Solanum lycopersicum: one gene and its partner. The protein of the gene in region 1 interacts with the protein of each later gene in a biochemical or structural test. Links are inferred from orthologs where the notes say so. Each region holds a gene or a part of one and is shown on either strand. Other genes may lie near its edges.

Region 1 (3,212 bases):
GGCAACAGCAGAAGCGAAGTCCAAGAAACTGGATATAATACTTGGTCTGGATTCAAAGATGAATCCAAAACCTGCCCCTGCATCATTAAAAGTTGAAAGCAGTGCGTATATTCCATCGGGGAGTGCAAGGATACCAGAGCCTCTGATCAACTCGCATGTGTACTCTCCCAAGCAGCAATTTGCGTCTAACATTGTGGACTCTGCTTATAGAGTCCCAAAGGAGCCATCTTCGACATCTTCTATGTGGTCTAACCATATGAAATTAGTAGGTGCATATGTGCAAAGTTCCAACAGCAACATGCTTGACTCAGGGGAGAGGCGCTATTCTAGTATGCGGATTCCAGCGACTTCTGCTGGCTATGATCAGCAGCCTGCCACTGTGCATGGATATCAGATTACTGCTTACCTTAATCAACTTGCGAAAGAAAGAGGATCTGATTATTTAAATGGGCAACTGGAGTCACCATCTCCTCGTTCTGTATCATCACTGACGTCAAACTATGCAGAACCATTGGCTCGTGTTTCGGGGCAAAAACCTCAGAGTGGAGTCAGTAGTCGAGCACCACCTGGTTTTGGAAATGTCCCTGTAGGCCGAAATAATTCGATGCAGCCCACTAACACTACTTCTGTCGACCATAGCTCTACTGAAACTGCTGAAAGCGTGGCTGGTTCAGCCAACTCTAAGAAGTACTACAGCTTGCCTGATATCTCAGGGCGCTATGTTCCTCGCCAAGATTCTATAGTGTCAGATGCGAGAGCTCAATGGTACAATTCCATGGGATTCGGACAATCTGGTGGTCGATCTACATACGAACAAGCCTATATGAGTGGTTCACTAAGGGCAGGTGGTCCTCAGAGGTATGAACATTCTCCTAAAGTCTGCAGAGATGCATTCTCCTTGCAGTACAGCTCCAATTCAGGGAATGGATCCCTGTGGTCTAGACAGCCTTTTGAGCAATTTGGTGTAGCTGGTAAGCCAGATGTTGGTAGCGGCGATCATGGAACTGTGCTGAGTTCCTCTGCTCAAGAGAGTACATCTACGGTTGACTTGGAAGCTAAGCTGCTTCAGTCTTTCAGAAGTTGTATTGTGAAACTTTTGAAACTGGAAGGATCTGAGTGGTTATTTAGGCAAGATGATGGGGCTGATGAGGATCTTATAGGTCGGATTGCTGCAAGAGAGAAATTTCTCTATGAAGCTGAAACTAGGGAGATAAGTAGATTGACCAACATTGGTGAATCACACTTCTCTTCCAACAGGAAACCCGGTTCTGCCCCAAAACCTGAAGAGATGGATTACACCAAGTTCTTGGTGATGTCAGTTCCCCACTGCGGAGAAGGTTGTGTTTGGAAAGTAGATCTGATTATAAGCTTCGGTGTGTGGTGCATTCACAGAATTCTTGAGCTTTCACTTATGGAAAGTAGGCCAGAGTTGTGGGGCAAATATACCTATGTTCTCAACCGTCTTCAGGTAAAGCCTCATATCCTATCTATCTTTTTCTTCATTCACAGAATTCTTGAAGTTCTATGTTTCTTTCAATAATTTTTTTTTGAGCATTGGAGAAATGAAGCATGCTTTTTGGTGTTACCACACAATCCTTCATGAAAACCCTCTTTAAAGCTTATATCACATCATTTAAGGTTTAAATAAACCGCATTTGTGTTAGATTCATTGTTGGACCTTGTAGCGTGCCAAAAAAGATATTGTAGTGACTATCCTGGTCCTTCCATTTTAAGGTGGCTAAACAAGTGCTAAAAGCATCAAAGACGCCACAAAACCGTAAGCTAGGGGTCATTTGTTTGAAATTTTCCTTTCTCGGAACAGCGGGAAAGAGTAATAGTTGAGTTGGTCTTGATGCTCAAGAAATGGCAATGTGTCAACCGTAGTGTGAGATTTATTATTCATCTGATGAATCATTTACCAACTTCAGGGCATAGTAGATCTGGCATTTTCAAAGCCCCATTCTCCGACGAGCCATTGTTTTTGTCTTCAAATTCCGGCTGGCCGCCAGCAAAAGGCAAGCCCCCCTCCAATTTCTAATGGAAACTTGCCGCCACAAGCAAAACAGGGTCGAGGAAAATGCACGACTGCAGCAATGCTCTTAGAGATGATCAAAGACGTGGAGACAGCAATTTCCTGTCGAAAGGGACGAACGGGCACTGCAGCAGGGGATGTAGCCTTTCCTAAAGGAAAAGAGAACCTGGCATCCGTCCTCAAGCGCTATAAACGTCGATTATCCAATAAGCCGGTAGGAAACCAGGAGGTGGCTGGAGTCGCCGGACCGCGCAAAGTAACGCTGTCTGCCTCATCACCCCCTTTCGTCTTGTAACGCTCTTTTCTCAGTTCATAGCAAATGACTGGTGAGATCACCATTGTTAGACTTGTTCTTAGTTTCTGTGAATTATCCCCCCCTCCCCAACTATACCTCCCTTGCACCTCATGTGTATTTTGAATCTTTGCAGCTTATTCACCCCCATCCCTTGTACCTCAATCTGTATACATAGGATAAAATGTTGTAACGAGGTTACTGTAAAACTGCAATGGTGAAATGAAACGGGCTAAAAGGCGGGAAAAGATGTTATTACAAGATATGCAGTTTTCTTGCTTTTTGTTTCCATAGTGCCATCTTGAACCAATGGAAACAACCTCTACCTCTGAATTACTTTTAATATCAAAAGGTTGTTGTTATATTACTACTTTCCTTGATCCGAGGGTCTATCAGAAACCACCTCGTCCTCTAAGCTCTGAGGTAGGCATAAGAAACCACTTGGTCCTCTAGTTCCGAGGTAAGCGTAAGTTAAACGTTTCAAACTCATTATGTGGGACTACACGGGGTATGTGTTGTGTTGTAGTTTGCACTTTATCGCGCAAGAGGGGAAAGTGCTACGTAATAGGTGTTTTTCTTACTTAGGGTTTGAGCTCGTCACATTTTATTTAACTAAAGATTCTTAGTGATTCCATCGCAACTCATTATTGGTTGTTAGAGGAGAATAATACTTCTCTCGACATAATATGAGAAACTTTGTGTTCTCAAAATATGTAAATAACTTTTGTGTGATTAATTTTTTGTGACATAATATGAGAAACTTTGTGTTCTCAAAATATGTAAATAACTTTTTGTGATTAATTTTTTGTTTTTTTTTAGATTTGTGACCTAATTGCAATAAAAGGAGTATAAAGATCAAAAAGGATGAATGTGAATGGCTAGAAGAGG
Region 2 (3,829 bases), on another chromosome or scaffold:
ATGGAGCAGAATGTGGCTCTTGATCTGGCAAGAAGAGAAGCAGAAATGGCTGTTCGTGCACGTAATGATTTCTTGGCTGTTATGAATCATGAAATGAGAACTCCCATGCATGCAATAATTGCACTTTCTTCCTTACTACAAGAAACTGATCTAACTCCAGAGCAACGTCTGATGGTTGAAACAATCCTCAAAAGCAGCAACCTTTTAGCAACGCTCATCAACGATGTCTTGGATCTTTCAAGGCTAGAGGATGGAAGTCTTCAACTTGATATTGGCACTTTCAATCTCCATGCTTTATTTAGAGAGGTGCCCTTCATCACCCTCTTTTCTTTTTTACTTGCAAATTCTAGATTACCTGTCAGGAAAAAAAGTGTCATTACAGATATTTTGCACTTCAATATGTTTGCTGGACCTGCTGACTGATATATGTGTCTGCTTATTCCTGTAGGTCCATAGCTTAATCAAGCCTATTGCATCTGTGAAAAAGCTGTTCGTCACACTTAGTTTGTCGTCAGATTTGCCGGAATATGTAATTGGGGATGAAAAACGGTTAATGCAAATTCTCTTAAACGTTGTTGGCAATGCTGTAAAGTTCTCAAAGGAAGGCAACGTATCAATCTCCGCTTTTGTTGCAAAATCAGACTCTTTAAGAGATCCTAGAGCCCCTGAATTTTTTGCTGTGCCTAGTGAAAATCACTTCTATTTACGGGTGCAGGTATATTTTTACAAGCTTGATATACTATCTTCGTAGGTTAAGGATAGTCACAAATATGATATTTTAGACTTATAACTGTCAGATGTTCTGTTCTTGATATTTGTAATATTCTAAGTAATACTTTCTGTAGATAAAAGATACGGGGATAGGAATTACACCACAGGATATTCCCAACCTGTTTAGCAAGTTTACACAAAGCCAAGCGCTAGCAACTACAAATTCTGGTGGCACTGGGCTTGGTCTTGCAATTTGTAAGAGGTACGGGGTACCCAGTTCCTTAGTGTTCTTTTTCCGACTCTGATTTTCATTTTGCTACGTGAACTTGGTAACTGCTTCATATTCAATTTCTTTCCTCTTACTGTATTTAGTATTGACACATCTTCTGATGGGACACAAAACAGGTTTGTGAATCTTATGGAAGGACATATTTGGATTGAAAGTGAAGGTCTTGGCAAGGGGTCTACTGCTATATTTATCATTAAACTTGGCATTCCTGGACGTGCAAATGAATCTAAGCTCCCCTTTGTGACCAAATTGCCAGCAAATCACACGCAGATGAGTTTTCAAGGATTAAAGGTTTTGGTGATGGATGAGAATGGGTGAGTACTATCTGGACCCCTTTATCCTCAGCTCTTGTCTTGCCATGCTGTTTAATGATCCATCTAGTTCGTGAGTTTCTCATCTTATATGTATTGAGCTGTCTTACTCACTTTTACATGAGACTGAACAAGTAAATACTTAATAAGAGAGTACTGAAATTAGAATCTTTACAACTATATGTGGATGTGCTGGTGACATGTACTTAGGAGTATATGCCTTTTTCTAGGGCTAACCCATCGGTGGCCCCCTAAAGTTGGCATCAACTTTCACTTAGACACCTGAACTAGACTTTGTTCATTTTTGACATCTCATGTGAGGCTCTGATGTATCATTTAACACTTTTTGCTTTTTGCTGATATGGCATAGTGAGTGTGACTCACTCATTAACAGCGCGTCAGACTCTTTTTCAGCCAATTTTTATTTTATATTTCCTTCTTCTTCCCCATTTTTTCAACCACCATTTTCTCAAGTTTGAACTTCTTCCATGGTGAGATATATTCGATGATGCCACAAACGAGGAATCTAATTTCAAATGTCAGAGCTTTCTCCAAGATTTCCCAAGGATGATGCCCTTCTTCCTCAATTTAATTTGAGGGAAAAAGACTGAAATTTGAAGAAAAAAAAAGAAATTTGGGGAAGAATAAAAAATCATTAAAAAATGAGATAATCTCCTTAAAAGAAACTTAATAATGTGATATGAACACGTACACATTTGTATTTTTAGAAGTTCATTGGATCTTAGATTTTTTCTTTTTTAAGCAATAAAATCTGTAGAATTTTCTTTTAGCAATAAAATTTGCGGAGCTGCAATTATTTGAAAAAATTTGAGTTACACAAGTTCACTGAAGGGGTGTGTGCAGTGAGAAGACCATGAATGGGGTGGGGTTGGGGTGGGATATGCTTCTCCTAAAGATTTTTTAAGGTGATTTAATCCTTTTTAATATTATTTGGGAAGAAATGCCACGTGTCATCGATCCATTAGCCAATTTTTCTAAAAAAATAATAGATAGTTTATTATTTTGAAGAGAACGACAAGTGTCCTCATTTAATTTGACACTTTACACATCATCCGCGAGTGGAACACACTCACCATCATATTTTTGTTGAATGTAAAAAAAGTGCTAAATGACGCATCAGGGCCTCACATGAGGTGTCTAAAATGAACAAAGTCTAGTTCAGGTGTCTAAGTGAAAGTTAATGCCAACTTTAGGGGGCCACCGTTGGGTTAGCTGCTTTTTCTAATGAAAAGAAGGAAAAGTTAAGGATTTACAGTGTCAGGATCGCGAGAAGGGAAGGAGAGATCACCAGCCTGACCCTAGGAGCTCACATCTTTATCAGAGTATATGCCTTTTTTCTAATGAAAAGAAGGAAAAGTTTAGCATTTACGGTATCAGGATCGCGAAGAGGGAAGGAGAGATGACCAGCCTGACTGTAGGAGCTCACATCATTATCTCTAATTGGAAGAAGGAAGTGACCAACTGGAAGTAGTGCTTTCAAATCCAATAAAAGGGTATACTGCTCTTCCAGAAATAAGAGGATGGAGGAAAGAGTGACTTCATAGATGTCTTAATACAAGTCTTTGCTATGTATGCATCGAATTAAAAATGTCAGTCAATCTGGTTCGCCTTAGTATATATATATATATATATATATATATATATATATATATAACAGTAACAGATTCCCTTTTCTCTTATCCTTTTATCGTCCCACCGCACCCCTGCCTTCCACACCGCTATTGATATCTTTAACCTGAGGTATTATAAATTGAACGCAGTTGTTTTATTGTCGGATAAGAATTTGTATGATTGGTAATCCTACGACTCTGTGATCGTTGCTTTTCTCTTTTTGATGTGACCTCATTATTATTATTTTTATTATTTATCCTACCTGATTATATGATTAGTTGACATTAGTTATCAGAATTGTTTTTGTTTCTTATACTCCTTCATGCAGTGTTAGCAGGATGGTAACCAAAGGTCTGCTTACACACCTTGGATGTGATGTAACTACTGTTGGCTCACGCGATGAGTGCTTGAGAGTTGTTACACATGAACACAAGGTAGTTATCATGGATGTCAGCATGCAAGGTATAGACTGTTACGAAGTTGCTGTAGTGATACATGAAAGGTTTGGGAAACGTCACGGTAGGCCACTTATTGTGGCATTAACGGGGAACACAGACAGAGTTACGAAAGAAAACTGCATGAGAGTTGGTATGGATGGAGTTATCCTAAAACCTGTGTCAGTGTATAAAATGAGAAGTGTTTTATCTGAGCTCTTAGAACATGGAGTTGTACTTGAATCTTAGTGAATGTAGGAGGAAAATATGCAGCAACCATATGAAAAATTCACCCAAATGCACGAGGCGTTGTATATAGTTCTCGTCTTTGGATTTCTTGGTGGATAACACAATATATCACTTGAAGAAGGTGTATGTAACGCGACGTTGCTCGAGGCATTCAACAAATTTGTAGAAAGGAGTTGATTTTTCCACTACCAGAAGTGTTCATA

What was found.
Region 2: the proteins of EIN2 (region 1) and ETR1 form a complex in vitro, tested with the Arabidopsis thaliana proteins (2 studies listed by BioGRID). The link is inferred for Solanum lycopersicum from reciprocal best matches to the Arabidopsis thaliana genes EIN2 and ETR1.

What each region holds. Positions count from the first base shown.
Region 1 is NC_090808.1:1,899,590-1,902,801, forward strand, and holds the end of EIN2 (ethylene-insensitive protein 2), read left to right. Parts: coding exon 1-1,468; intron 1,469-1,928; coding exon 1,929-2,327; 3' UTR 2,328-2,585; downstream 2,586-3,212. UniProt on the Arabidopsis thaliana protein: Central factor in signaling pathways regulated by ethylene (ET) and involved in various processes including development, plant defense, senescence, nucleotide sugar flux, and tropisms.
Region 2 is NC_090811.1:4,583,455-4,587,283, forward strand, and holds part of ETR1 (ethylene receptor 1), read left to right. Parts: coding exon 1-306; intron 307-448; coding exon 449-715; intron 716-845; coding exon 846-973; intron 974-1,116; coding exon 1,117-1,314; intron 1,315-3,271; coding exon 3,272-3,626; 3' UTR 3,627-3,829. UniProt on the Arabidopsis thaliana protein: Ethylene receptor related to bacterial two-component regulators. Acts as a redundant negative regulator of ethylene signaling.